Linked DNA regions of Saccharomyces cerevisiae S288C. The gene in region 4 interacts genetically with the main gene of each other region. Each region holds a gene or a part of one and is shown on either strand. Other genes may lie near its edges. The genes, in order: FIN1, BIK1, KIP2 and ASE1.

Region 1 (7,228 bases), on a different chromosome or scaffold from region 4:
CCCCCTAACAATAACAAGAAAAGTCCTTACAATGGTGTACTTACGCACTGGATCGAGAACAACGAGTTTGGAGAAGAAAAATTCCTAGCCCGAAATTGTAATTACTGTGATTTAAGAGTGACAAGAAGTAGCTTCATATGTGGAAATTGTCAACATGTTTTACACTCTTCGTGCGCGAGGATATGGTGGGAGATTGGTGATGAGTGCCCATCTGGATGTGGGTGCAATTGTCCGGAAATGTTCGATGCCTAAAAGCTTAACTATCACGTACATTTTCTGCATATTTCAAAGAACCTTGGATGTATATGAAAAAAAGTTCACAGGATATATGGCTTAATAAGTAGTTTATTTACGATTTTTTAATCCAGTAGAGGCATGATAGAAGACGACAACGGAATCATTGAGCGTTGGAGGCATTTTTACAATGGCTCAGTAATCACGAATAAAAGTAGGTGGAAGTTGAAATCTATTATTACATATTAAAAACTTCAGAAATACTTGAGGCTATATATTGTTGTACACTTAACCAATCGTATAACGGAGCATTGGAACAAGAAAGCTGAGTAGAAAACAGGTTACGAAAGTTGTTTGTTGGCTCATTTGTTCAAAGTCATTAACGAAGCGATAAAAGTAATAATTAATCTTGCACGAACTTCGTTGATATCTTCTGGCACCAACCAAATCAAAGCACCCAACTTTCTAGCAATAGAAATAGCCAATCTTGCGTTTGCGTACCTTTCTTCCTCGGTGTTACCAGGGGTGACTAGATCATAATCAACATAGCCCGGCGCGATACCATTCAGAACATCCAATAAGAAGTGGGCGTTTGATAAAGCTTGGTCCTTAAATGATCTAATGGTAGAGTTTTTACCACCTTTAGTTACCTGGTCTTGGGCCCACTTTAATATTTGAGAATCACTCATGTCTCTACCACTTGAGGATAATGTCTTCATGGTTATCGAAATATTTCTACGCATCAATTGCCACACTAACCCTAAGGTCAGTAATTTGTTACCATCTACAATATCAGATCCTTCGATACCAACCAAAGAAAATCCTTTGGCTCTGCCCAAGTCGACTGCATAGTTGGTGTTTTCTAAGGCTTTGAATCTGGATATCTCTGCACCCGAGGCCGGTCTTTTGTTGACATGTTTAAAATCAACAGCACCGGGCATCACCTTTTCGTAAGCTTGCAATAATATCAAACCATCCTTCAAATCATCAAACAGCGAAATGACAGGTGGATCAACGTCAAGAGAGTTCAACCATAAGGTAAAGACTCTTGCCTCTCTCTCACCTTCGGCGTCAAATTCTTCAATTTCAGGCTTTTCCTCTTCCTGAATAGGCTCTAATCCAGGATGTGTATTGAATAGATGTGCCACGAAAGCCAGGTTTAATTTAGGGTTCCCCGCAACTAATGAACTTGGGGTTAAATACTTTCTACAATCTAGCTTTTCAGCATTTTGTAAAACTTGCTCAGCTCTCTCCATTAAATCTGTGGTTTGTAATGGTGCCTTAGAACACAAGGCGGGGTCCAACTGGTTCAACAAGATAGTATAGTTTTCACCATCAGACACGTCTTTTGAAAAATTGGTAACCCTTCTGTTCCAGTTTGCTTGCTTCAAATGGTAGTTAAACCAACGTAGTAGAATTTGCTCCGGAGGCAACCTCAAAAATTGCTCCAACGTTTCATCATCCTCCAATAGACGGTATAACTCAGGATGCAGCTTAATATCAATTTTACTTAACAAACCTCTCCTAATAATTTGCCAAATCAAACCCAGGATCAAATGCTCTCTACCTTCAATAATGTCCTCGGAATGAACATTAACAACGACACAACCAATGGCTTTTGCAGAATTAATAACAATATTAGCATTTTCACTAGCCTGAAAATTATTCAATTCCTTACCCTTCTTAGGCCAATTCAAAACTCTTGTATCGATAGTATCAGGAACAGAGTCGTTGATCAACTTAGATAGCACCAACCCATCCCTACATTCATCAAATAATTGGAAAGTATCAGTAGGAAATGGAAGCAAATCACCTATATCTTGGTCTCCCGCCAAGACGCTATTGATATGTTTAGTAAATTCACGTCTTTCTTCTTCATTGATGGTATGTGTAGTACCTGTTTGGGAGCCAGCAACAATAATCTTGGCTTGAGTACCCTTACCCTTGTGCTGTAGTCCTGTGGCAGCAGTGGAAACAATAGGGGTTGAGTTAGGTGCTACGTTGAAAGTGGTCTGTGGAGCAGCTCCTGTTTTAGATTCTCTTAATTTTGCAACCAACCCGACGTAATCGTCCAGTTCAACACGGCCTGACGCATCCACACCCACATGCTTCAGGGTTTCTCTTGCTTCGTCATAAGTAGCATCACCATCTTTGGACACCGCTTCTAGAGCTTGCTGTTTTTCAACCCATCCTTTATCATCTAAGTCAATGGCTCTGAACTTTTCAATTGTGGAAAAAAGATCCTCTTGAGTCAAAATTGGAAATTTTCTCTAATCGCAGAAGAGTTTGTTAGTATATGAAACGTTTATTACAACCTAAAAGGTAGAAAAAACTTTTTCACTGTGCTCAGCAGTGTGGGAATTCGAGAAAGGCATACATACTTGTAATTTGACAATATTCATTGTGTTTTGGTGTACTCCTTAGGGCTAATATATCAGCTTCTTCTCTGATAATTTTAGTGTAAAGAGCTTTCTTGTTCTCCTGAAATAACCAAAATTTATATCGATAAATCTTCATTATAAACTTCGCCCCGTACTTTTGATATTTTTCCGCCTCCCGAGGAGTGCTTTTTCACATGAAGGCCATCGGGAACAAGAAGAAAAGCCGTTCACGTAAGAAAATAGGACCCTATATCCGGTCAGGATCACTCAAGCTGTATGTAAATGTAATATAGACAAAGCACCTTTAACTGCTAAGAATTAATTATAGTGTCGGAAATATAACATAACTTGCTTACTTCCTGTGTAAAAAATGTGAGAAGGGATATGATTACTTATGTTTCGGTATTTCCGTGAGTTGAAGTTCGATATTGGATAATCTTGATTCAATCTCTCGCTGTCTTCTCAACATTTGTAGTAGCAAGTCCTTTATTTCTTTAAGTTCCACGGTTTCTTCAGTCACTATATTATCAGGTAGTTTAAATTTTACACTTTTCTGGAAACTAGCTTTGTGTATCTTACCTTCGTTCGCCAGCATGGAATTCAGTTTAGTGTTCGATTTAGTAAGGGATTCTATGCCATTTCCCACGTCTTCCTCTTCTTTCTTGAGTTCAACTAATAAATTCTTCCCTTTCAATTTAGCTCGAGGAAGGTCATTCTCAAATGGGGCGTCCTTGAGCTCAGTATTAGAACAGAGGTCAGTGTTGCTTTTGGCATCCGATGGGAGAATATGTTGCTGCTGTTGCTGCTGTATCCTTTCAGGTGACATGAGTCCATTCTTAAACCGGGCCCGTATTCTCGTTAACGAACCATCACCCCCGATTTTATTTTCATTACTGAATGTCAGTTTGGTTGGTGATGTAGGGAATATTATATTAGTTATATGATCTGAGTTTTGGATCTTCACATTTTTATTCGAATTTTTGAACTGAGGCCTATCCAGGCTTTGAGTTTCCTTAGAGACATAGCCCTTCAGACATTCCGGCGACATAATCCTTCTTGGTGTTACTTGTATACTATGCTTCATTCCATCTGTCTTGTTAGGTGATATCCTCATAGGTGGTTTCAAAAACTCTTTTTGGCTTGTCGTCCTCAAAGGGGACATACTCAATCTCACAAAGACATTGTCCTTGTCACTTGGTATATTATTTCGACCAATCGTATTCCCTATGTCACGTAAACTCCTGCGGTTGCTTTTATTGCTCATAATTTGTTTTATTGAACTATGTCACATCACTGCAATCCAGTGAGAACACTGAGAAAGCTCTAACTAGACTATACAATCCATTTGTTTTGATTTCCTCTTGTTGACAATTTGCAGTATTTAGAGTATATATCATTATGTACGTGTTATAACCGCCATGTCTCACAGTATCAACTAAATAGAGCTTCTGCGTCCACCAATTCATAAACAGAGTTGCTTTTATAGCCATTATTATAGAAGAGGGGAACCGCGCATCGTTGTAACTCGTCCACTTGTATTATTTTTGTAGGTATACCGTTGATGGTTAGATATTCTAAGTTCGGCAAACTTTGCTCAAAAACTTTAAATACGTCTTTTAGATAATGAAGGTATAAGTGGTACAAACTAATGGCATCTTCTCTAGTAATTTTATTCACTGTAATATTCTCAGTATTTTCTATGGTGCTTTGCAGATTTTCATTGAACTTTCGTACAAACGTTTCAATAGGTACAGAATCCCATCCCATCGCAGGTGATTCGTTGTCAATAATGTTTGTATAGGGCATGATCTTGTTCTCGAAAAACATTTGGTAAAAGAAATTATGGGCTTGGAACTTATTTGGGTTCTTTAAAAGTTTTGACCGGGTTTCAGGAAAGATTTTTTTTAGAATGACCTCGTGAATTGTATTTTTGCAAGTTGAACAAGGGCAGAAACCATCGAAATTCAAGCGAGTTAGTGGGTTATCTGTCATGGGAAAAAAAAGCCTGTGATTTAGTTGGCAGTGTATGTCAAAACGCTGTAATTTTTTGCCACACACTTGTTTAGATAAGAAGTTAATCAACGACACATCGAAGTCAAATTTACCCATGTAATCAAGTTTCAGTATCTTTAAATTGTGAAACACAGCCAAACAATTCATTAGAAAAAATTCGCTGTAAACCAATGACGCTAATGATAGTTTCTCAATGTTCGGAAATTTCCAAAATCCTTCTAGCCCCCATTTGACATATAACCTGTCAAAACCACCTTCTTCGCCAGAGGGAAAATCGTCGCGACTGTACCAAGACAAAATCTCTAGCTGCCTTAAGGTGGAAGCATCAAATATGTCGATGTATTCTAGCTCTTTTAAGAAGTCATCGGAAGCGTCGTACTCCGCAAGGTTAAGTGTGTCGGGTCGCAAATTTAATACCAATGCTTTGATCTTCATAGGAGACCCGGTATTTTTGAAGTACTTCAATGCGTTTATATGAATGGAAAGTTTTTCTAATCGAGATAGATCGCACTTCAAGAGCAACCGATCAATTTTATTCAAATAAGAACCGCTTACACTGTTATGGGTGGGCATTAACGTTGGTGGCGTTAATGTTAGAGTTTTTAATTGCTTTGATAAAGGTTCTAGCCCCTTGTTAACTGATGAGCGAACAAATTGATCGACAAATTTCAAATTGGATCCATACTCGGATAGCAATTTAAGTACATTTGTCATCACATCTTCATTTAAATGCCATGTACAACGTATTCGATTAATTAAGGGACATAATCTTTTCGGTGACTCTGCTAATGTTCTTTCGAAATAACTAAATTTCACTTTAGCTAGTCTTCTATTCGACATGTCGTTTTTAGTATTGGAATCATCTTCATCTATGTAGTGAAAGTTTAGGACAGACCAATAACAGGTTCCAAATGAGTTATCATAGTCACCATTGATGTGATAGGTTTCATTAAGAAATAAATTCTGGTAGATGAAAGGTATAATTGATTCATAGGATCTTTTGCATACATATGTTAACGAAATTTTATCTTCCTGCGGAATTCTCCAGGCAATTTGTTTAAAAATCTCATAAGGTAACTTATCAAACATTTTTCGGGCCCTTTCAAATTGGCAGTAGGGTTATTTTTATCTATTTTAAGACACCAAAGTTTCTTCTTTTTGCACACATTATCCTACTATTTTCTCTACGTTACTTTATCTCTGGTTTTAAGAGGTGTCTGTATCCTAATTCCCGAAGTCGATTTTTTTCTTACATATTAACTGATAAATAACAAGAGAAAAGAGACAAGAGCCTACAAAAAGTAAGAAAAGAAGCTACTACAGGAATGTGAGTTACAATGGGTTTCCGTTATACTTCAAGTACTATAATGGCATATAAAAAATACAACGGAGAGCATACATATACTTAAAAGCTTGGCAGAAGAGTAATTTTATCAAGCTAATCCTACAGATATTCATATCCCTTGTAGTATTCCTTAGTTCCGTTAAATGCTATAGCTTTAATAGCTATCAGCATAATATTGCCATCTTTCACGGCCAGTTTCCAGAGAGACTTTCTTAAGTAAAGCTTTAAACCAGAACAAAATCTAAGGTCAAGTGGATCAGACACGTCAATGACCCTGTCATTGAATTTATTTTTATCAGTTAGCAAAGTTTGAACTTGAGAAATCTTAATGCCGTTTATGTCCAAATCACAGAGATATATGCATGCTGGAAGTAAATAATGAGTTTCAATTTTCGTCTGCGTACTATCGGATGGGAACCGATACTGGTAATTTTTCAACTTAGGCGCACCAGAGGGTGTATTTGGCAAATGACTTCCAAATAAGGCCTCAAACTTATAGGCGGATTCTCCAGTTATGTCTACATGGATACTTTGGCTTTCCTTATTGAGGATTATCGTACAATCAGTCGAATTTATTTGAAATATCAACTCTCTCGGATGCTTATCTAAAAAAGGTCTCTTATAACAAAGCATATTCCAGGAATCGTTATATTTTTCAGTCATGTCAAGTTTAATCTTTTTATTTGCTGGCTGTTCACGGGTTTTTGATAGCGAGTCGCATTCATTTATGCTACAGAAATCGTCTTCAAAGTAGGGCGAGGTTGAAAATGCAGAAGAAGCTGGAAAAGTGATGCCTTTTTTTGACAAATCCTTCAATAGGAGGCAAATCTCTTCTTTCCTTGTTATTGGGTTATAGCTAATATGAGATTTGATTAGCCGCTGTTCGAGATTTAAAAGCCTGTAATAACGGCACTCTTTTATCAAGGCATTTCTTTTATTATCATCTAGATCGATGGATGCTCCTCCCAGTAACGTCAGCAAATCTTTGAAGTACTCAGAAGATCTTGGAATGTAAGGAGCAGAATGAGATGGAGGCCTTAATAGTTTTTTAGATATTATCAGCTCTTCCACATCGATATAAACTGTAGCCGCATATATTTCGAAATAATTTGGGGAATCTCCTTCTCTTCTAAATAAATTTTTCGCTATCTTGAATGATTGTCCACCAATGTTGGTAAAATAATAGTCCGTTTCTTTCAGTAAAGATCGCAATCGCGGTAAATTGTAGTACATCGCATCTGCGAAAAGCATGGTA
Region 2 (7,425 bases), on a different chromosome or scaffold from region 4:
TGTATATATACATATTATTTTCGTTAGTGTTCGGTTTCCAAGTTAGAAATAATCTACTGGAAATCCTTTGGGATCAACCCAAGCTTACTCATTCTGATTTTCACAGCGTTTCTGTGACCGTCTAGACCCTCCTTCTTGGCAACGCACATAACAGCTCTACCGATGTTTTCTAAACCTTCAGGGGTAATGTTTTGGGCAGTGATAAACTTTTGGAAGGTTGCAGTGTTGGCACCACTGTACTGCCTAGCGTAACCATAGGTTGGTAATGTATGGTTAGTACCACTTGAATAGTCACCGCACGATTCTGGAGTGTAAGCACCCACAAATACGGACCCTGCATTGTCAACCAATTTAACATAATCGTTAGCATTGGCGATTTGTAGAATCAAATGTTCTGGTGCATATTGGTTGGACATTTCAAGGGCTTCTTCGTAACCGTCACAAAGAACGATCGTACTGTGAGCAATACATTTACGAACAATATCCACACGTGGCAGTTGTAAAGCTTGATTGTGGACAGCATCTTGAATCTCTTGAATTTTCTTTTCGCTCAAGTTAACACCAACAAGGATAACTTGGGAGTCAATACCGTGTTCAGCTTGCGATAGCAAATCACTTGCAACAAAATCCACATCGGCATCTTCATCGGCAATAACCAAAACTTCACTTGGGCCAGCTGGCATATCAATGGAACATAGAGCTTGAGTGTCATTTTGAACATACATTTTGGCGGCAGTCACAAATTGATTACCTGGACCCAAGATCTTATCCACTTTAGGAATAGTTTCTGTCCCGTAAGCCATAGCAGCAACGGCTTGGGCACCACCAGCTAGAACAATCTTGGAAGCGCCAACTTTTTCTGCGACATAAACAACTTCGGGTGAAACTTTACCATCAGATTTTCTTGGTGGAGATGCAAACACAATCTCCTTACATTGGGCAACTTGTGCTGGAACACCAAGCATTAATGCAGTACTTGGTAAAATGGCAGTGCCACCAGGGATATACAAACCAACTTTTTCAATAGGACGAGGGAATCTGGAACACAAGACACCAGGTTGGGTTTCAACTTCAAGAGTCTCTGTTGGCAATTGAGCAGCATGGAATTTGCGGACGTTTTCAATTGAAAGGTCCAAAGCTTCCTTCATTTCCTCGGTTAAACCTTCAAAGTATTCTTCTGGGAATGGAGCATTAAGAACAGGATTGGATAATTTTACACCATCAAACTTTTCTGTGTACTCCAAAAGGGCAGAGTTACCTTTGTCTCTAACATTTTCGATGATCGGATTGACTAAATGCATAATTTCAGAAGTCTTTTGGATTGGTCTGCTCAAAGCCTTCTGCACACCAACTTTGTCGGAAGCCTTCACCACGTCCAAGTGAATTGGACCGGTCAGTTTTTCTTCTTCAGCCTTTGGTTGTCCAACAAACTTTGGCTTAGCATCACCTTTCCGTCTTGTAACCTTCAGATGCTTCATATTCAGATTATTCTCGACGTCCTTCAATGAAACATCGTTGGCCACTAATTTGGCCAGTGCAAAGTAGAACAAATCGGCAGCCTCCCAAGAAAGCTCCTTCTTACCCTTTGCCTCAGTCAGTTCTTCAGCTTCTTCCTTGATCTTGGCATCTAACAATGCAGAGTCGTTGAATAGTCTTCTAGTATAAGATTCCTCTGGAGCGTCCTGTAGCCTTTGTTTTAGTAAAGATTCTAGCCCCACCAAACCATGCTTGAATTCACCAAAGCAAGACATGGTCTCCAAGTGGCAAAATCCAACGTTTTCTTGTTCAACGATAAACTTTAAGGCATCCGAATCACAGTCAGTAGAGATTTGTAAAAGCTTTTGGCCATTGCCAGAAGTTTCACCCTTGATCCAGATTTCATTCCTAGAACGAGAATAATAAACGCCACGACCCAAATCGATGGCCTTTGCTATAGATTTCTTCGAAGAATACACCAACCCTAGACAACGCTCATATTGGTCGACAACTAGGGTGGTATATAAACCGTCAGGACGGTCTGTACGTACTTCACCAAGCACTTCTTTGGTCAACATATCCTTGCTTAATTTCTTTATGGACACAATTTTATCTTGCGAGAATTTTTGTTTTACCATGAATTGATTGGAGAAAACACCGTTCTCTTCCACAACAACACGCTCCTTTGGTACATTCAATTGTTCAACCAAGTGTTCGGCTGTTTTAGCATCTTGGCTAGCAATGAACAGAGAAGAAACTCCGTTGTTCAAGAAGGCAATGATTTCATCATCGCTGAATTTACCACTTGGCAAGGACAAAGCCACCAATGGAACTTCTTCCTCTTTGGAGAACTGGAGAATCTCTTCATTACTCAGGCTCGAGCCATCCAAAAGTACCTGACCAACAAGTGAAACGTATTCCTTCTTACTATTCCATGAGGCCAGATCATCAATTAACGGTAGAATCGGCAAAACCATTATTCAGAAAAAAAATTTTGTAAACTATTGTATTACTATTACACAGCGCAGTTGTGCTATGATATTTTTATGTATGTACAACACACATCGGAGGTGAATATAACGTTCCATATCTATTATATACACAGTATACTACTGTTCATAGTCATATCCTTTTCTTACCTTCTATATCGAATGACTGATAAAAAAACGTGAGTCACTGTGCATGGGTTTAGCAATTAATTAACTAATTTACCGGAGTCACTATTAGAGTCAGTTCGACTGCCTAGAAGAACTGCTGGTTGTCAGGATTGTGATGGGGGCATTCTGCTGTATTATGACCCATCGTATCGCAATGCTCACACCACTGTTGTCTTCCTGCCGTGGTATCGACTGGTGCAGGGGGGTCGAAAATTGGCAACGATTCCACGGCTGTTTGTGCTTGAGCCTGTTCCAACTGTTTGATTTTTTCATTAGCCTCTTCAAGTTTTTTCGTTAAGGATGCCACCTCTTCCGATGAGGAATCTTGTGGTTTTGTCAAAAATAGTTCCTTGCTCAAATTTTGGTATTCTTTACTGAGCGAATCGTTATGCATTTTCAATTGTTCGCGTTCTTTAGCCCACTTTGTCTTGTGTAACTCAAATTGGTCTTCTATGTTGCGTAATTGTTCCAGCTGTTTTTTCAGGAGTTCGACATCTTCGTTGGCACCAGTGGGTTGATTATGAGAAAGATTTCTCTCTTCGTTTTCTTTGATCTCTTCGTGTAGTTGGCTTACGACAGCAAGTAGCTGTTCATTCTCAGCGTCAAAAAACTGCTTTTGTTTGGCTTGCTGTCTGCGTTCGAGCTCCAATTGTTGCTTGAGATGGTCTATCTCTTTCTCTCTTTCTTGTATTGTGGCTTCATACCTATCAAAAGTCGGTTGCACTTCTTCGAGGACCATTCTTTGGTCATCGAGTAGCCTTTTGTAGTGTAGTTGTTTCCTTTGTAGCTTTTCGATGGTCAATTGGGCTTCTCGTAATTCAATTGTAACTTCGCTGCTATTGAGGTCATTCATGTGGCCATTGTCCGGTTTCCAATCGCTGGTGGTGTTGTGATTAGCCTTTCTGTCTGATGACAGGATAGAGTCGACCTCCATTCTGTCTTCTCTGTTATCGTAACCAAATTCTTGCTGTTGATGGTGATCCGATGCCTCCTGGTCCATCGACTGTTGATTACCGCTGTGCCGACTGGTGATCCGGAAACTTCTCATGGGTGTGGGGGATTTAGGATCATCCATGGGAGAGAACTGGTTAGTGAGCCTCACAATAGATCTGTTTTTGGGTATTGATAGCGGTTCCATTGTCGTTCTTCTCGAGGTTTGCGATATCGATGCCTTCTCGATCAATGATGCGACTTTTTGCAACTGAATAAATAGTCCACTTTGAGGATACTCCGTTTGAAAATACTTCTTCCCCATGAATGATCCATCGTTCTTACCAATGTTGGCAAGTAAGTCTACACCAGCAAACATTCCAGCTTTCGTGTCCACTGGACCCACGTATTTCAGTTGTCCGCGCCCCAAATTTGGGATTTGTATGAAACATCCTATCTTTCTTTGATATCTATCCATGGTATTTCAAACGCATACACAGCCAGCCACAGCTCAACGCCTTTTACCTTGTCCTTTGATGCCTGTCTCGTCCAAACGTTTTTGGTGTCTTGGCCAATTGCCCTTCTGAAAAATCTCACTGTCCGCAACTCATTAAAAGATACCCAAGCAAGCTACACGATAAAGAAAGGAGAAAGTTCATTAAAAGAACGTACATATAGCGATACAAACGTATAGCAAAGATCTGAAATGGATACGGATAAGTTAATCTCAGAGGCTGAGTCTCATTTTTCTCAAGGAAACCATGCAGAAGCTGTTGCGAAGTTGACATCCGCAGCTCAGTCGAACCCCAATGACGAGCAAATGTCAACTATTGAATCATTAATTCAAAAAATCGCAGGATACGTCATGGACAACCGTAGTGGTGGTAGTGACGCCTCGCAAGATCGTGCTGCTGGTGGTGGTTCATCTTTTATGAACACTTTAATGGCAGACTCTAAGGGTTCTTCCCAAACGCAACTAGGAAAACTAGCTTTGTTAGCCACAGTGATGACACACTCATCAAATAAAGGTTCTTCTAACAGAGGGTTTGACGTAGGGACTGTCATGTCAATGCTAAGTGGTTCTGGCGGCGGGAGCCAAAGTATGGGTGCTTCCGGCCTGGCTGCCTTGGCTTCTCAATTCTTTAAGTCAGGTAACAATTCCCAAGGTCAGGGACAAGGTCAAGGTCAAGGTCAAGGTCAAGGACAAGGTCAAGGTCAAGGTTCTTTTACTGCTTTGGCGTCTTTGGCTTCATCTTTCATGAATTCCAACAACAATAATCAGCAAGGTCAAAATCAAAGCTCCGGTGGTTCCTCCTTTGGAGCACTGGCTTCTATGGCAAGCTCTTTTATGCATTCCAATAATAATCAGAACTCCAACAATAGTCAACAGGGCTATAACCAATCCTATCAAAACGGTAACCAAAATAGTCAAGGTTACAATAATCAACAGTACCAAGGTGGCAACGGTGGTTACCAACAACAACAGGGACAATCTGGTGGTGCTTTTTCCTCATTGGCCTCCATGGCTCAATCTTACTTAGGTGGTGGACAAACTCAATCCAACCAACAGCAATACAATCAACAAGGCCAAAACAACCAGCAGCAATACCAGCAACAAGGCCAAAACTATCAGCATCAACAACAGGGTCAGCAGCAGCAACAAGGCCACTCCAGTTCATTCTCAGCTTTGGCTTCCATGGCAAGTTCCTACCTGGGCAATAACTCCAATTCAAATTCGAGTTATGGGGGCCAGCAACAGGCTAATGAGTATGGTAGACCGCAACAGAATGGTCAACAGCAATCCAATGAGTACGGAAGACCGCAATACGGCGGAAACCAGAACTCCAATGGACAGCACGAATCCTTCAATTTTTCTGGCAACTTTTCTCAACAGAACAATAACGGCAACCAGAACCGCTACTGAACGATGATTCAGTTCGCCTTCTATCCTTTGTTTACGTATTTGTTTATATATATAACTTTATTTTTTTTTATTAATTGGGCTGCAAGACAATTTTGTTGTCAGTGATGCCTCAATCCTTCTTTTGCTTCCATATTTACCATGTGGACCCTTTCAAAACAGAGTTGTATCTCTGCAGGATGCCCTTTTTGACGTATTGAATGGCATAATTGCACTGTCACTTTTCGCGCTGTCTCATTTTGGTGCGATGATGAAACAAACATGAAACGTCTGTAATTTGAAACAAATAACGTAATTCTCGGGATTGGTTTTATTTAAATGACAATGTAAGAGTGGCTTTGTAAGGTATGTGTTGCTCTTAAAATATTTGGATACGACATCCTTTATCTTTTTTCCTTTAAGAGCAGGATATAAGCCATCAAGTTTCTGAAAATCAAAATGGTAGCAACAATAATGCAGACGACAACAACTGTGCTGACGACAGTCGCCGCAATGTCTACTACCTTAGCATCAAATTACATATCTTCGCAAGCTAGTTCCTCGACGAGTGTAACAACAGTAACGACAATAGCGACATCAATACGCTCTACACCGTCTAATCTACTCTTTTCTAATGTGGCGGCTCAGCCAAAATCATCTTCAGCAAGCACAATTGGGCTTTCAATCGGACTTCCCATCGGAATATTCTGTTTCGGATTACTTATCCTTTTGTGTTATTTCTACCTTAAAAGGAATTCGGTGTCCATTTCAAATCCACCCATGTCAGCTACGATTCCAAGGGAAGAGGAATATTGTCGCCGCACTAATTGGTTCTCACGGTTATTTTGGCAGAGTAAGTGTGAGGATCAGAATTCATATTCTAATCGTGATATTGAGAAGTATAACGACACCCAGTGGACCTCGGGTGATAACATGTCTTCAAAAATACAGTACAAAATTTCCAAACCCATAATACCGCAGCATATACTGACACCTAAGAAAACGGTGAAGAACCCATATGCTTGGTCTGGTAAAAACATTTCGTTAGACCCCAAAGTGAACGAAATGGAGGAAGAGAAAGTTGTGGATGCATTCCTGTATACTAAACCACCGAATATTGTCCATATTGAATCCAGCATGCCCTCGTATAATGATTTACCTTCTCAAAAAACGGTGTCCTCAAAGAAAACTGCGTTAAAAACGAGTGAGAAATGGAGTTACGAATCTCCACTATCTCGATGGTTCTTGAGGGGTTCTACATACTTTAAGGATTATGGCTTATCAAAGACCTCTTTAAAGACCCCAACTGGGGCTCCACAACTGAAGCAAATGAAAATGCTCTCCCGGATAAGTAAGGGTTACTTCAATGAGTCAGATATAATGCCTGACGAACGATCGCCCATCTTGGAGTATAATAACACGCCTCTGGATGCAAATGACAGTGTGAATAACTTGGGTAATACCACGCCAGATTCACAAATCACATCTTATCGCAACAATAACATCGATCTAATCACGGCAAGACCCCATTCAGTGATATACGGTACTACTGCACAACAAACTTTGGAAACCAACTTCAATGATCATCATGACTGCAATAAAAGCACTGAGAAACACGAGTTGATAATACCCACCCCATCAAAACCACTAAAGAAAAGGAAAAAAAGAAGACAAAGTAAAATGTATCAGCATTTACAACATTTGTCACGTTCTAAACCATTGCCGCTTACTCCAAACTCCAAATATAATGGGGAGGCTAGCGTCCAATTAGGGAAGACATATACAGTTATTCAGGATTACGAGCCTAGATTGACAGACGAAATAAGAATCTCGCTGGGTGAAAAAGTTAAAATTCTGGCCACTCATACCGATGGATGGTGTCTGGTAGAAAAGTGTAATACACAAAAGGGTTCTATTCACGTCAGTGTTGACGATAAAAGATACCTCAATGAAGATAGAGGC
Region 3 (8,312 bases), on a different chromosome or scaffold from region 4:
TTGGATCACCCCCGTGGGGTGGTCCAGAATACTTAAGAAACGATGTGTATGACTTAGAGCAACATCTAAAGCCTATGGGGATTACCAAGATGTTGAAAAGTTTTCTTAAACTAAGCCCTAATGTGATTATGTTTTTGCCAAGGAACTCTGATTTGAACCAGCTTTCTCGAGCTACGAGGAAAGTACTAGGTCCATTTGCCAAATGTAAAGTATTATATGTAAAGGAGAATGGATATATGAAAGGAATATTTTGCATGTGGGGGGAATGCTTTTTTAACTACGAACCAGCAAGTACGGAGAATAGTCGAAGGGAGTCGTCCGAAAAGGAAGAGCTGAGTTCTGAAAACGAAGAGCTCTCGAAAAGAAAAAAGCATGAATCCACAACAACGACCAAAGATAATACTGTAGACATTTACGACGTAAATGGTTAAACACTTGTTCAAGTTGAATCGTATGATAGAAAATGCAATGACTATGTTATGAATGTATATATAGCACATAAAGAGGATCGCTTACGTGAATTTGGGAATAATTAAAACGTTCTTTTAGCTGCGGCTGCTCGTCGATAGGAGTGATAACAAATTAAGAATTAGAAGGGATGTCTTTTTTTTCTACCAGCAAGTTGCCACGCGCTTCAGACTTTAGAAGAGGTAGTAGCAATCCCTTCGAATGAGGTTCGATTATATCTCTCACCATTCCACGATTTATCACGGAAATACCATTCAAAAATAAATAAGGCGACTGAATGGATTCCAAGGCAGCACTAGTATCGATATTTAGTTTATTTTGTTTGATATACTTTTCTAATTCATAGCCATGAGAGTGTTTTTCCAAATCAACAGTGGCCAATTCGGGTGAAATCTCAAATTCTCTTTGTAATAGATTTTTTAAGAAAATGGAGTCTGCTTGTGATGATTTAATGAATAATACCGCTGGAGAGGTTCTTATTATATCTAGAAAATCTGTTCTAGGGTCGAATTTTTTGTGATCGCAGTTTTTCTGCAAGGCCAGAGAAGATGACCGTGGATTTAGTGTTGTTGTGGTCGTCGCCGTCACGACATTATCAGTTTGGAACGATCTTGAAGAAAATTTTGATGTAGCTTTGGATGAGGGTTCTGGGATGTCGACTTCAACCTCGCTTTGAATATTTGAAATTTCTTCTTTGACTTTTTGGAAATTTAGTTCATTTTCATTACTTAGAAAACTGTCTGCTGTCTTTAATAAGTTTGGCAACTTGTAAACGAACTTCTTTTCACTTTCTTCCTCACTATTTTTTTTGTTTTCGCTAGGGTCAGCAGAGTTGTAGAATTCCAAGGAGTCATTCCATGTAAGTAGTAAGAAGCTAAATACGCCAAGCAAAACGAGTGTTAGCGATATTATTCTCGTACTTCTCTTGATTGCTGTGTGCTTTTTCAAAACTGATGAATCCGCTATCATCTTTAACTGTTATTTTCCTTTTTTTAATTGCTCTTTACTGTTCTTGGAACAAGAGATTATGAAGTCTATAAAAGAACATATATATAAGTATTTAAGAGATAAGCCTGATTCAAAGACGTTTGCAAGTTTCAGTCACTTGGCCTTAACAATCTTTATATATTAATCCCTTTAGTACCTGCACAATTAAGGCCGAGACAGACTCGAAACAACCCCAAAACTTCTTGATCTTTATTAGCTGATGCCAAATTTTTTGGTACCACACTGAAACGAACTTCGTAAATCCATTATTTGTGTATTTTCTTAACGAGAAGTGCCTAAAAACTGCCTTTTATGCGCTGTCTTCTGAGAATAGATCCCGTTCAAGGCAAGCGCCGGGCAAGCGGAGGCGCAGTCTACAGAACAATCCGCACAAGGAAAAAAGCACCCGAGATCTGGGACCCTCACCTAATCATTTATCGTTATCCACGACAGGGTGCGGTGATTGCTGTGTATTAATGAGTGGTTTCAAAGCCCTATCCCGCAGTCGTTTGGCACTCTGCAGGGCCTCAATCATTTTATCCTTCCTCTCGAGCATCTTCTGTAATTCGATCACTTCAGTGCCGTCACACCCAGTTAGCGACATTGCAGTATGACCACTTTTTTCTAGCGCCATGATCTTGTCTTCAAGTTTTTGAGTGTATTTCCTATATTGCCTTATTTGTGATTCCAAACCTTGGAACTTTGTTTCCAAAAGGGTGCCGACCTCAAAGGGAAGCATTTCTACAATTTCCATAATCTCAGAATCTTGCAAATCAACCACATCTTTATCTAGTAGTTTTTCACAATTCTCTAGTTTATATTTTAATACTCGATTCTCCGCTCTCATTAGAGCCAAATTCGGATCACCATCATTGCCGGTGGCTTTAATGTCTTTATAAGTACTTTCATTGGAAGATTTGGTTAAGGGCTCGCCAATGTTTGAACGGTTCTTCAATTCAGAGATCATCCTACGTTGTTCTTCCAATTGGCGTCTCAGTAGCTCAATGGTGCGATCTTTATCTCCATCGTTATTCCCGTTACTGATGATGGATTTTTTGGATACATGAAGTGCGACGTTTTTCGCTCTTGATGCAAACCTCAGCGTATTCATAGTTTCCGCTGCCGCATCATTTCTGGTGTCGACTGTACATATCGTTGTCACTATGCTGTCACCGCTTAGTGCCGGCTGCAATAATCTAGTCAATTTAGAATCACGATATGGAATGTGGTTGCTTGGGCTAGTGCCGTTATTGGTAGCATTTCCACTACTGCTGCTACTGCCACTTGCAGATGGCGAGGGAATGTTTGAGCCTACTGAGTTCATCTTGTCGGCACTGAGTTTGGATATCACAGTCCCCAAAGCAAGTAAGGATTTGTTGATGAATGAACCTTCCTTTCTCCTCTCTTGTTGCCCCGTAGCCCTTTCCGAACCTGCTAGGTCACACAACGACAATGTACTCGATCTTGAGGTGCCGTTCTTTACGTTAGTACTTGTTAAACGAATCAGTACAATGGCATGAGATCGTGAGCTTCTTGCATTGTAGTCAGTTTCGCCAATTTTCCTACTTTTGTCACCAACTGCAATCCACCTCAATAATTCTTCACTACTTTCACATCTTCTTTCGGTGAGACCGATAACTTTGACCCCATACTGAGAGTCATCTCTGATTTTTAATTCTACGCCCAATCCATTGCTGTTGCTCTTGCTCATATATAACCTTGAAGGAGTACTGATTCTACTACCGGATTCTTCTAATCCGCTTTCTAACAGGTCGTAAATCCTTTCATTGTAAATTTCGAGGTACGATATTATAACGTCGAACTTTTTATCGCCATTCATTGATTGTTCCATGATATTGGTAAATAAATACGACACAGATAAAGGAATTAGGCCTAGCTCTTGTTCATTTCCGCTCATTGTAAACGTTTTACCTGACCCGGTCATACCGTACGCAAATATGGTGGCATTAAACCCCATCAATAACTTATCAATCATTGGTTTACTGGTTCTTTCATAAACTTCCAAATTAGTGCAATGGGAAGCAAAAACATGATCGAACTTGAACTCTCCAATTTCTTCATGCACTATTGTTTTGTCATTAGTAATAAACCAGGGGTCTCTAACAAATGTATTGCTACCGTGATGTGAGTTGGATCTTGGTTGAGAGTACCTGGGCGATTTTAGCCCCACATGGTCACGGGAAGTTCCAACGCTCCGTGGTTTCGGCCGGATGGTCACAGTGATTGACCCAGTATATGTATCGTTTTTTCTCGAGTTGTTGTTAATACTGTCGCTCCGCCTGATCCTTATCCTACCTGGGTGAAGGAAGGGATCGGATTTGGCTGATACGGATCTTAGTGGGGAGTTACTTCTAGTGGAAGATGCAGAAATCGACTGAGAACCCGAATTAGAGGTGCTCCGTATGGAGTTTCTTGTCAGATTAGAAAACGATGAAGTTGATCGTACAGAGGGCGATTGTGGGATATTACTTGAACCAGAACTAGACCTCGTTGATGGCCTCCTTAAGCTTGGGCTCATTTTTTGAATCATCAATGGTGGTATTATGGTAAGAATTTTATCAAGTGTTCTATGTTTGCCTTGATTTCAAATGTTTCTAGAGCGCAGCCTGTGAATCTCTGCAGCCTATTTCTTTTTATTTTTCGCTTCTGCTTACATTGCTTTATTATCAATTGTTCCGCTATTGGAAAAGGATAAACAAGGAAATTCTCGAGCCGCATCATCGGGCTACCCGCATATAATGACATTATGGGCAGCAGCATAGAACAATGGATTCTAAAACTGAGGACAAGATGGTTTGTCTTGTTTTTTTTTTTTAAATATACTATAGTTTTTTTTATTGTTATCTACTTATAAAAGCTCTCTAGATGGCAGAAAAGGATAGGGCGGAGAAGTAAGAAAAGTTTAGCTCAAATTGCTTTGGCCAAACCAACCGCATTGTTGCCCAAATCGTAAATAGAATAGTATTTACGCAAGAAGGCATCACCAACGATGGCCAGTGGGCCAACAGGTTCTGGGAAATCCATTGGTGTAATTGCAGAGATACAGGAGCCTGAAACTTCAAGCGTGTAATCGTATGGCCCAATAGTGAAGTTGTAGCCATTGAAGTTGAAAATTAGATCAGGTAGATTGTCTCTGGTGTTACAGTCTAGAGTATATTGACCGGTCCAACCCTTCTTGGCCCCAATTTCAGCATTAATCATTTCAGCTAATCCTGATGGCAAGGTAATCAAAGAAGTACCAGTATCGATGGCGGCACCATGGCTCTCCAATTCGGCGTACTCGTCGCCTAAACCGATACCTTCAAACTTGACTTCCCAGTAAGCCTTACGACGAACAGGTAACCAAGTGATATCGCCCTTGAACTTAGACTCGTCAATACCACCAAAGGTGGCTTCACCGCCATTTTCAGTATCCTTTGAAGTGTCTCCCAAATAAAAGGCAAATCTCTTTTCGTCCAACAAATCTTGTTGAATGGCGTTGTAAAATGGAGGGACCACCTTATCAACAGAAATGGTATCGTAACCCAAACCCAAAATACCATCGAACTTGCCAAATGCAAATGTTAAGCCCGGCTCGCTGGTAGCCTCAGCGAAGTCTTGTTTTGGAATGGTCAAATCCCCGATGGACAAAGTGTCTTGAGAAATGTAACCTTCCAAAGAACCAGTACCATATTGAATGGCAAATTCAGTACCATTAGCTTTGTAGCTTGATGAAGCTTCATGATCGTATTTAGAATGTAGGAAACAAGCCAAGGAACCACATTCGTTACTTGGAACCCAAAGGTTTGAAGAACCAGTATCCAAAATAACCTTGAAGTTTTGAGGTGGAGTACCCAAAGTAATGTCAGTGTAATATTGTGCGTTCAAGTAATTTGTCAATGGAACATCGTGACCACCTTCAGTGAAGAAAGGATGCTCCCTAGAAAAAACAACTTCGGGGTTAGCTTTCTCAAATTGAGTCAAGTACTTTTGGCCTAAATGAGCTAAATGTTGCTCGAAAGTGACTTCTTTCATCTCATCGGACAACTCGTGTTTATAAATTTTAGCCTTGTGGACTTTTGCAGCAACTTGGTTGGCGCTGACCAACAACAAGGCCAATGGCAATAATGCTTTCAAGCTGAACATGTTAGTTTTGGTTTTTGTTTGAATTTTATTTGGATTAAATACTAGGTCACTAGGCTTTTTTTTTTTCTTTTCTTATAGAATTCTAATAGAAAAAACTTTTTATGAATACAGTAGGGTGAGATATACTTTTTGTTATTCTTCCCTTACGTGGTAGGCTTCTCAAATAAAAATAGAAAAGACCACTAAAATTTGATTATAAAGGCTTCGCTCAAAAAAGAAGAAGGTGGAATGAATAAATAGCAGCGAATTACCCAAACTTCTTTACTCTGTTCCCTTAACCAGTTGATAAGAGGTTACGAAGTACGGAAGTATGGCTTTTTATATAAATCCTAAAAAGGGCCGCCTCCGCCCCTTAATCCATCGACACCCGCAAATGAAATATAGTACCCGGAAGGCATAAGACGGGTTACAGCCTCTCCATAGATTCAATAACCGCTTTTGGTTATAGAAATAATCAGACCTCAGCAAATACAATTGAGGAGCTCAAGATATTGAAAACGGATTAACAAACTTTTTAAAATTATTTATGAGCTTGTTGTACCACATCAAGCAGGATTATGTTTTTTTCAGAACTTCTTTTTCTGATTCAAAAATTCATTAAGCATAACTAAAACTGAAAATCAAAACTTATTAATATACAAAAATCTATATATTTCAAAATGTAAATCGTATCAAAACGTCACTCTATATGTAATAAAAACCCAAAAAGTTATGAATAGATGAATTCTGAGTATTGGTATCTACCATCTTCTCTCTTAAAAAGGGGCAGCATTTTCTATGGGTATTTGTCCTTGGTTACGAAAATTGCAAATTCTCGGGGCCTTTTGAGGTTTGGTCCAATTTTGCCCTTTTAACCTTCTTACTAGGATCAATTTGTGATTGCGATAAACTTACCGAATGTATTCTCTTCAAAATGTTCCCCGTATTCGCATTAATCGGTGACTCTACCAAGTCGTTTAGTACCGAATTATTGCCGTTATTATTTGTATCGCTAACTGGCGGCTTCTTAGCCGACATTGATGAAGAAGAAGCCGAGGGTTGATTTGCACGTTGAGCTGCCATCATCTGGGTTAACTTTTTCACCAAATCTTTTTCTTCGGCTGTTTGCTTAAGTACTACTCTTTGTTCTTGTAACATACCTAATCCCTCGTTAAACAGACCTGTAGTATCGTTAATTTCCACTTTAAAGCCAATGACAAATTTATTGTTTTTATCCCAAATGATCTTGATTTCATCTCCGTCTTGTAAAAGGAATTTCGTACCCTGTATCATGCGGTTATTATTTAAATAGCTCACGTTAGTTCCGGTGTGGCAATACCAAATATCATCTAAACCTTGTGCCGGAGATTCATACATGCTTTTGCCTACAGCATGCCTCTTTTTGAAAATGAAGCAATGAACTCGAGACAACCTATTGTCTTCAATTTTACAATTGCAATCCTCGGATCTACCAATGAAAAATGGATTCACACCTTGCTGAATCTCCAGGCTTTCTTGAATAATGCTGTCAGGCAATGGTTTTAAAGTTAAAAACCTACCATTACCCTTTTTCTTTGAGCTCTTGACATTCTCAGTATTATTGGAATGTAAAAGTTTTTGTTCTCTAGTTTCTGCTTCAATGCTTTTGGGCTGTGTATATCGAATAGGGGCGTGTGCGGGTATTTTAAATCCTTGAATTTTTCCATCTTGGTCTTCCTGATCCTGTTCTTGAAGTTGTTGCTCCATTTGTAATTTCCTTTGCGCTTTGACAAATTCGTATTGAGCATCGTCCATATTTTCTAATAATTTCTGCTGCGACAACGATTGTGATAAGGATATTTGTGAAAAATCACCATATGATTGTGAGCCCAATGGACTCATCTTGATCCAGGGATGATTCAAGGCTTTTGCAGCTGTCGACCTATTATTTGGATCCACCTGTAACAATGAATCTATGAAATCTCTTGCTTCTTCAGATATCCGGAAATCTTTGAGGGGCCCTTCATGATATGAGCCTCTTCCAATCTGTTTATATAATTGGTCCTGTGTGCTACCACTAAAAGGTAAGTGGCCCGTTAGGATAACATACACAAGACATCCCATTGACCACATATCCACTAACGAAGAGTACTCATTCCTTTCTTCGTATTCATCAGGAGATACGGATGTATCTTTACCTCTGATGACTTCAGGTGCCACATATGCCAAAGTGCCACAGAAGGTTTTCATAAAAGACCCATTTCCTTGTACTTTTGCCAGACCAAAGTCGGTTATCTTTACCAATACAGGATCGTCTTGTTCAATAAGAATATTATCGGGCTTTAGGTCACGATGGCTGATGCCCATAGAGTGAATGTATTTTATTGCTGTGAGTATCTGCCTGGATATCTCCCTCCCAGCATCTTCTCCAACCGCACCATGAGCAGCAACAAAATCCATTAAGTCACCACCAGAAACGAACTCCATCACCATATAATAACTCTCAGTATCTTCATAAAATCCTTTCAATCGTACTATCCTTGGATGATTGAGCTTTTGCAATACTTCTAACTCTCTTGTCACACCATCCATATTGCCTATTACTTTGCGTTTACTTATAATCTTCACCGCGAATGTTTTCCCAGTAGTTCTTTCAATGGCTTTCTTTACTGTGGCAAATGCACCCTGGCCCACCACTTCGTCAATAATCGAAAAATCCTTAAAAATACCAGTCTTGTTGGCCACCATTGATG
Region 4 (8,890 bases):
TTTCAAGGTTTTTCCTTGCTTGAGCATCCTTAATTTCTTGAAAAACTGTGGGAGTAGTATAAAAAGACTGTGCATAATTCTGGTAATGTGTGTAGGACTGCGTAATTAATGGGGTGGCATCCAATATCAACGCCCTTACATGTGCGGTTTGGTTTTCGGTCATATTATGCTCCTTTAAAGAAACTTTAGAAAAATACTGAACTATGATCGCCGATGAGATTTATCTAGCGCTGACTGAACGACCTCTATGTTAAGAACATACTTGAGATAATGGTGCTGTTTCTCCATGTAGACTTCTTCTTAGCAGGTAAAAATTTGCCAATGCAAAACAAAGCTCATCGAAAAATTTTGATCTTGCATTATGGAATGTCCGGGTTTTTCTATTGAGACATTCAAATTTTGAATTCTTCTTCAATAGAACCAGGCTCAGCACAGATACAAGAGAAATGATAGTAGATAATACCGCCATAGTGCTTATGCATCATCTGCTAATTCTTTTAAGAATGATCTTCTCAGTCTTACACTGACGAGCACTATATTGATGACTTTGATCACTATAAACGAAGCCAATATAAGCACTTTAGGGTGTAAGGTCTCAAGATGAGTTGATCATATGCGATATATCTTTGAACGCTAATAATTGAACGAAAGCACTATGACAAAGTAATGGCAGAAGTCTTTTAAGGTTAAAGAGGTAGTTGTTTTAAGGAAACGAAAAAGAAATGCCTGTTGAAAAAGATTTAAAAACTGCCTACAAAGCTTTGTATGATGAGAAGGAACCACTGAAGGCCCTCCATCTTTATGATGAAATTCTCAAAGGCTCACCCACAAATTTAACGGCTCTCATTTTTAAGGCAGCATGTCTTGAAAAGCTATACTTTGGGTTTTCTGATTGGCACAGCGATGCAACTATGGAAAACGCAAAGGAACTTCTTGACAAGGCTCTAATGACAGCTGAGGGTAGGGGCGATAGATCGAAGATTGGTCTTGTTAACTTTCGTTATTTTGTTCATTTCTTCAATATCAAAGATTATGAACTGGCCCAATCTTATTTTAAAAAAGCCAAGAATCTTGGTTACGTTGATGACACTTTGCCTTTATGGGAAGATCGTCTGGAGACAAAATTGAATAAAAAAAATAAAAAGCAGAAGGATTCAACTAATAAGCATACAATTAAACCAGTGGAAAGTATTGAAAACAGAGGAGATAATAATTCTTCTCATAGTCCCATTTCACCTCTCAAAATTGAAACCGCTCCTCAAGAATCCCCTAAATTTAAAATCGATTGGTATCAATCCAGCACCTCTGTCACTATATCATTATTTACTGTTAATCTTCCTGAGTCTAAGGAACAAGTCAATATATATATTTCTCCAAACGATAGAAGAACTTTATCGATATCGTACCAAGTACCGAAATCTGGATCTGAATTTCAATACAACGCTAAGCTTTCGCATGAGGTGGATCCAAAAGCAGTGTCATTAAAAATTTTCCCAAAAAAGCTGGAAATTACCTTGAGCAAAATTGATAGCACGCAATGGAAGAAGTTGGAAGAAGATATTTTAACGGAATCCTCAAGGTTATCAGATGAGGGTAAAAATTCTGATTCTGCAACCCGCTTATTATCAGCAGAAACGGCATCAAAAGAGAGATTGTCTTATCCATCGTCCTCTAAAAAAAAAATAGATTGGTCTAAACTTGACATTGATGAAGAAGCTGATGAAGAAGCGGGATCGGCTGATAGTTTCTTTCAAAAGCTTTACGCTGGAGCGGATCCAGATACCAAAAGGGCTATGATGAAATCCTTTATAGAAAGTAATGGTACTGCATTGAGTACAGACTGGGAAGACGTATCTAAGGGAACGGTTAAAACTTCACCACCAGAAGGCATGGAACCTAAACATTGGTAAATGATTAGTATATACCTACACAATTACAATATGTAGATATATAGTATGGTAGTAATGTTACATTTTCGATTTAGACTAGCCAACCTGCGTATTTACTTGGAATGCTTACATGATTATATTGAATATTACAAATTTTATTATGTCCATATTAATCCAGAGTCACGGTGCAATGGAAAAAGGAAAGGGAGAATGATAGAATAAAAGAAGGAAAGAAAGAGACAATGTAGCGAAGGCTAGAAAGTGATGTGAAAAAAAAAACCACAAAAAAAATAAATAAGAGATCAGAGGGTTAAATGAATGCGCTTTTAAGAAATTCAAATATCTGTAAAGGAGAATCCATTCAATTTCGAAACTTGCTCATTTTTCCATGTAATAAAATCCTTATCATTTTCATCTTCCATCATACTGGTATCATCAAATCCGCTTTCAATATCTTTTTGTTGAATGTTTAATTGAAATTTACCTTCTGGCGACATGGAAAGTTTATATATGCTGTGCTCAGGTTCTTTATAAGGACTGCTCAATTTTTGTGCGTAATCTTCTAATGAGCTTTTGCGTTCCGGGCTTCGTACATTCTCCTTACCCGTGGTGCCAGTCGACCTTTTAAGAAGTTCTAAAGCCTTTTCTTTAGTTAATTGAGGGATATGACTACCCTTAGTGTCGACTTTGTTCAGCGGGATAGGAAACAATTGGCGTGGTTTTACTGCATGTTCGCCATGCGTATGATTTATCCTAGGCGATGATGAAAGATCGGATGATCTGTTTCTGTTTAAGGTAGGTCTCTCTATATTCCCTTTGGAATTCCTAGATATTACTGTGGGTGCTAGTAATCTTGTTGCTCTTCTGTTCGGACTAGATAACTTCGTTGTTCCTTGCATATGACGAGCAAGCGAGTTCTCTTGGGATAGATCATTCTTTGTTAAGCCTTGTATTGTTTTCTTTGAAGGCGTTTTATAAGTAATGTTGGCATCATTTAAATTCAAACCAATCGGTACCCTGATGGAACTTTCTGTGGCCTTGAAAGTGTTTTTTATGACTTTATTCTCTTTGTTCGCACCACATTTTCCCTTTTTAGATCTCTGCATTCTAACTCTACATCTTGGATATTTTGCTTCGATTTCCTGTTGCTGAATGTCAATTGCTTCTGAAAGTGGCTTACCTTTGAACAAAAAAGGTTGATCAAATAGACCATCGGCCTCTTCTAATTTAATTCTTAAATCATTGATGACTCGAGGAAAGTGTCTTGTTATCCTTTTCCTCATTTTTTCTTCAGTTAGTAATATCTTATGAGAATTTCTAGACAAAAGCCGTGAAGAGTCTTTTGAACTTCTTTCCAAAAATTCTTGATCTTCTTGTAAAGATTCAAAATCTGATATTAATTTTAAAATTGGCTTATAAAGGGTCAGTTTTTCTTCTAGTCTTTTTAGCTCATTTTCGCAAGTTTCTAGAAGAAGCTCATCTTCCTGTAAAGTTGTTGCACTGTTCCTTAGTTCTTCAAATACAATGATGAATTTAGACCGACTTTCTTCTGAATACTGTAACGTACGCCACAATTCCTGAATTTTGTCCCAGGAATCTGATATAAGTTTTTTTATTAGTTTTTTTTTCATTGCTTCAAGTCGCATAACTTCTTTAGAGATTCTACCTAAGGACTCGGTTGATAAACTTGAATTGTTACGCATAAAAGTCTTTATGTATTCTTGAGAAATTTTTAGCCTTGTCCAAAGTTTTTGGCATTGTTCCATCAGGAGCCTCTTTTTGTCTGCTCTTTCCTTATGGATAGCTTGCAGTTTTTCCAATGTAATATCAATTTTAGACATTCTTTCTCTGTCTACCGGGTGGAAATTTGGTATTTCTGATGTGGAGTTTTCCTCTTCTCCATATGATCTTAGATCTTGTTCAAAATCTTCACCGATTAACGTTGCTAGGGGAGTTCCAAGTTGTTCACATATTGATGAAATACTAACCTTTTTTGTGAGTACGCTTTTAAACCTCCTCTCGTATTCTTCCTCGTAAATTTTTATGACTTCATTCATGTGTTTCACAGATTCTTCGTTAATAGTTTTAAATGCCGATCCCTTTAAAATATCTTTTCTATTATCTATAATAAATTTCATGGACAAACCAATATCGCCTTTACCATTTTCTATTTGTAACAAATATGCGGTTAATGTGCTTAATTCTGGAAACTCGGCGATAGCCTCGTTATCTGCTTCTGTCAATCCAGGAAGGTTTTCTTTTACAGATTGTATGAGGTGTTTTAGAGTGATTAAGGATTTTAAATAGTCGCGGAGCCTGGGTAAAAAACTTCCTAGGACAAATTTTTTTGCTGTATCTAATGCTGCTTTTTTGCTTAGTAAGGAAAGTGGCTTTTTCGGTGACTGTGGCACAGTTTTACTTTCTTGCAGTAGAATAGCATTTCTAATGTATAAGTCAGGAATAGTCTTTATGCCACTTGGGTCATTTATTCTCTCTAGAATGTTATTTAGAATATCCTGTTCAATTCCGTTCTCTGCGGACAGTCTTTTCAATTCTTCGTCAGCTTGCTCAAAAAATTGTTTTATGGAATTAGATATAGTGGTGAATATGATTTTCTCCTTGGTGATAATTTCCGTATTAGAATACCCAATATTTTGATATATGACATTGAGATTCTCCAGTAATTTCTCTAGATCCTTTGAAATAAGAATGAAATTTTCTCTATACATATTATCCATTGTGTTACCTTTACCATTTTCTGAGTCTAAAAAATGGTAATTAGTGGACACGTTTTTCAAAGGAGAACCAAAATCTCTAATACGAACTGGGGTCAACTTCATAAACTCTTTAGAATTTGATTGATTTACCATGGTCGACACAGTCAACGGTGTTGCTAAAGAAGGGTTCATATGCGGTATAACTGTAGTAGACCCAGAATTTTCGCTGTTTCTCCTCGATTTAATGGGCAAAGGGGAAGAAGTTGCTGTCTCCATTTCAACATCAAAAGTAGTGAATCCAAAATGAAACCTTTGAATTCTAATGCCAGAATGCTATATCTGATGATTAAAAATAGCCTATTAAAATGCTCTAATTAGTCCTTAAAATAATTATTCTCGGTAATAGCCGTTTGTTCGTATCTTTGCTATTGTTCTGTGAAAAAACCAGGTATTCGACTTTAATAATATTTTTGTATTTGTTTCCTCTTAAAGATTCTCAAGCTTATTTACCTTTTACCTCATTGGGAAATATTAGATGACGAAAGAAAATCACACTGTACGATTTTCTGGGCGGTTATTTAGTGAAATTAAATAATAACGTAGATATGGCAGACAGACTTATTGTTTATAGGCAGTTCTTTACAATTGTAACTATAAAAAGTGGCTATACTAGGAAAGAAAGTTTTTAAAGATGATTTGTTTTTTCTATCTTAAATCTCATATATTTATTTTTATTCACTTCTGAGAAATACAAGTTGCATGTCTCAAAACTTTTACTTTTCAACAAAATATTAATCAAAAAAAATAAATGAAAAAAGAAGACCATATTGAAGAACATTTAAAATCCTTTGTTTGAAATAGAGATCAAATATCTTGTATTAGCTGGTTTTAAATCAGTAGTATATTGCTATGTATGGTTTGATAAGATGATACAGATTGTTAGACGAAATTATTATCATAATGTTATCTATATTATGGAATGCCAACAATCATCAGCAAATACGTAAATATGACAATGGAAATGAACAAAGAAAAGAAGAAGAGAAAAATATAATACTATGTAGAATTGTCGAGCTCCAAAGGATATTCTATCTTGTTATCCGTAACATAATCAGCAGGGCGATCTGTGCACTTGTTATGAACATATGACATTTTTATTTATTCCCTTCGTGTTATTGTACTCGTGTTTTTTATAAATTTTCCTTCCTCGTAGATGGCTTGAATACCAAGTAATATTTCTTCTACCACAGTATTACTGGCGTAAGCAACTGAATTCTCCGAAAAGTTTTTTAGATAAACTGCCAAGTTAGTCTGTCATTACCTTTATATCGTCTTCCTTTAATCTGTAGGTCAGAGTGTTCACTGCTTCAAATAAATCTGCAGATATTCTTCCATTATATTCAAGGTTCAATATTCTTCATGCTTTATAGAGAACAGTTTGAAAATTGCTGCAATTGATTTCTAAAGTTTTCTTGAACCAAATTGGCAACAAATGAAACGGAACAAACGTTTGAAATGTTTTGTACAAATATGAATGCTCTTCGTACGATAGTGGTCGCAGAATTCACCCTGTTCATTAGAATGAATGTTGCCTGTGGGTTGGAATTTTTCAAAACTTGATGTAGAATTTAGTCCAAGTAGAAGTATTCTTCCCCCACAGAATGTGTGGCGGTGAAAAATTGCGAGACGTGATTGGTGTATCAAAAAACATACGAGATTGTTGGGTTAGTATACTGTTTCAACTACGTGAAGGGCTTCTCAATGGTGATATATACTATAAAATTGTTGGTTGAGTATCTGATTGAAAATACATCGACGACATTATAGTCGGGCGTCCTAAAAATGACCAACTAGATGGCTTGGCTTGATTCGGAGTGATTATATCGCTATAAGTACGGTCCATTCTGTGACGACAGTAATTGAGCAGATACGATGATGATGATTCTCTGGAGCAGCTGATAAAACAGGTGTATTATCCGTTGAAAGTTGGCGTTGCTGGAAACCTTATCATATGAGGTTTGCAAATTGGAAACGTGTGACGAATTTGATTTGTGTACGCTTCCCTAGAAGTAACCAAATCATAGGCTCTACCATGAGGTAATGAATGATTATTATTGGGCTTCTACCGTTGCTAAAGGCTATAATATTAGATACACAAAATATATGAAAGTTCCCCTCGAGAATTGAAATCCACCAAAAGAGTATCCATATCTCTTTCTAATAATATTGATATTCTTCTTCTGTTCTTTATGATAATAGTCATTATATTATTACATTATATATCCTTGCAATCCAGCTCCCATTAAATCTGATGACTGTTTCTCATCTTTAGGGTTATCTTTTTACGCCGCATATGATACTATATTAATAATATGAATGCTAGTCGATAAATAATACTTGATTCCTATTCCAACATACTCTATCCAAAATTATTTCCTTTATAAAAATTATACCTCAACATTTATCAAATAGTTTAGCAATGTATCCTTTTCGGTAGTTAATTACTTTAAATAACCTAAGTTAAATACCCACTATCTATAGAAATCTTTATTTAGGACGCTCCGAAGAACTCATCCTTGTTAGCTCAGTTGGTAGAGCGTTCGGCTTTTAAGCGCATTTGCTTAAGCAAGGATACCGAAATGTCAGGGGTTCGAGCCCCCTATGAGGAGTTCTTTATTTTTGTCAGTAACTATTCGGGTACCATCCTCTTCTTTTCTTTTTCCCCCACTATAAAACGAGTCTATCAATTCCCTTCAAGCATTAGTGGTAGTAATACATTTTAATCACATGAGAGTGTTCATTCAAAAATATATACTATTTCGTGTAAATCAAGTGCTCAATTACTCTTGTGCATCAAGTATGCTAGTAATTGGGCCGTAAATTCGATACAAGCAATCCCAGTAGCAGCTGTATTCTCGTCCATTCCTCTACGTGCCACAATCACGCCATGCGCATTTACAGCCTTTATGTATATTGGAACTCTAATCCATTTCAATTTGTTTAGATTTCTCAAAATAACCTTTCGGTTTTCATCAAAAGGCAGTTTTTTAAATTTAGATTTCCAAACACCATCATTTATAGTTGTGTATTTTTGGATAAATTCCTTCCAAGGAAGCTCTTCTTCGTTTACAAGATTACTATTACTTGCTTCATAGTTCGCATCCATATCTAAAGCCGAATTTATGATGGACCCGTATGCATCTGTAACATAGCCTTTCAGTTGCTCCGTCAATCCTAATTTTCCTCTGACCTCATTGTGAAGAATGCCATTAGAGAGCATTTTGCGGTACTTGCAAGTAACAATATAACTATAAGCGGTTCCCAGGCCATTCATAACCAGGGCTATTGGGAGAATTAAGAATGTTGCAACTAGTATAATAAGAATAGTGCGTCCCCACTTTTTATAAGTCTTGGTCGGTTTAGTAGGAGCATGGCTGTTAACGTTTAAAGCGTTTAGGTCGACAATCTTAGGCAATATTCCTTTATAGCCAGATCCCGGAATCTTTTCTTCGAATGTATATTTCAATTTGTTGTCAAAATCTATAAATGGGTCGCAATCCGTAATAAACGCCGTATAGAAGGCTACCGTACGGTCATTTTTGACATTCGCAAACGCTATCCTCCATTTAAATAGCGAGAGTGCTTCAAGGTACTCACCCTGGCTCAATTTCACCAATATATTGTTACTAGAATTTGCGATAAACATTTCTCTCCCGCTTTTACCTAAAATAGTAGATCCCAAGGTCCTCAGCGCACTATATAACGCACTTTTATATGCTATGCCCGTAGGATTGTAAAACTCTACCCCCAAATGAGGCGTTGCCATTGTAATGAATAATTGTGGTTCAATATCCTCGAACAGTTCTTTAAATTCGGTCAACATCTTACCGATCATAAATCGGGCCACTAATCCGCCTTGCGAATATCCCATTACGCTTAGTTTGGTGATTTTCCCGTCTTTATAATCTCGGATAAATTCACAAACTTCAATCAATGTCCTGTACCCAATGATTTCGATACCATCAAACGTCTTAAACATGGCATTCTGCTTTGGTAAAAAATATATCATATCATCGTTAACATCTTCCTTTTTTAATGTAGTGGATAAAATTGTCCTCATAGATTCCATATGAGTATAGTTACCCCATAGCCCGTGAATCAGCACAAAAAGGTGTTTATCCGAAGTCATCTGAAGCGCTGTATAATATATATGGTTGATCACACGAAGTTTTCTACCGATTATTGCAGTAAAGAGTTGCCACCCTTTCTTTATTATCTTTGTTT

The links.
Region 1: mutations in ASE1 (region 4) and FIN1 together harm fitness more than expected from each alone (negative genetic interaction), as found in Saccharomyces cerevisiae (5 studies listed by BioGRID, with this or other methods).
Region 2: mutations in ASE1 (region 4) and BIK1 together harm fitness more than expected from each alone (negative genetic interaction), as found in Saccharomyces cerevisiae (5 studies listed by BioGRID, with this or other methods).
Region 3: mutations in ASE1 (region 4) and KIP2 together harm fitness more than expected from each alone (negative genetic interaction), as found in Saccharomyces cerevisiae (5 studies listed by BioGRID, with this or other methods).

Annotation. Positions count from the first base shown.
Region 1 is NC_001136.10:712,744-719,971, forward strand, and holds FIN1 (Fin1p), read right to left. Parts: upstream 3,880-7,228; coding exon 3,004-3,879; downstream 1-3,003. Other genes in the region: MTC5 (Mtc5p), read left to right, coding at 1-252; SAC6 (fimbrin), read right to left, coding at 597-2,504, 2,616-2,636; YDR131C (uncharacterized protein), read right to left, coding at 4,047-5,717; MRX16 (Mrx16p), read right to left, coding at 6,073-7,228. UniProt on the Saccharomyces cerevisiae protein: Forms cell-cycle specific filaments between the spindle pole bodies of dividing yeast cells.
Region 2 is NC_001135.5:65,881-73,305, forward strand, and holds BIK1 (Bik1p), read right to left. Parts: upstream 4,042-7,425; coding exon 2,719-4,041; downstream 1-2,718. Other genes in the region: HIS4 (trifunctional histidinol dehydrogenase/phosphoribosyl-AMP cyclohydrolase/phosphoribosyl-ATP diphosphatase), read right to left, coding at 54-2,453; prion domain-containing protein RNQ1, read left to right, coding at 4,270-5,487; FUS1 (Fus1p), read left to right, coding at 5,923-7,425. UniProt on the Saccharomyces cerevisiae protein: Required for nuclear fusion, chromosome disjunction, and nuclear segregation during mitosis. Probably required for the formation or stabilization of microtubules during mitosis and for spindle pole body fusion during conjugation.
Region 3 is NC_001148.4:255,331-263,642, forward strand, and holds KIP2 (Kip2p), read right to left. Parts: upstream 4,007-8,312; coding exon 1,886-4,006; downstream 1-1,885. Other genes in the region: TGS1 (RNA methyltransferase), read left to right, coding at 1-431; pheromone-regulated protein PRM4, read right to left, coding at 583-1,437; PEP4 (proteinase A), read right to left, coding at 4,384-5,601; serine/threonine/tyrosine protein kinase RAD53, read right to left, coding at 6,397-8,312. UniProt on the Saccharomyces cerevisiae protein: Required for assembly of the mitotic spindle.
Region 4 is NC_001147.6:431,464-440,353, forward strand, and holds ASE1 (Ase1p), read right to left. Parts: upstream 4,883-8,890; coding exon 2,225-4,882; downstream 1-2,224. Other genes in the region: NOB1 (rRNA-binding endoribonuclease), read right to left, coding at 1-163; co-chaperone SGT1, read left to right, coding at 723-1,910; LPL1 (putative hydrolase), read right to left, coding at 7,443-8,795. UniProt on the Saccharomyces cerevisiae protein: Required for anaphase spindle elongation.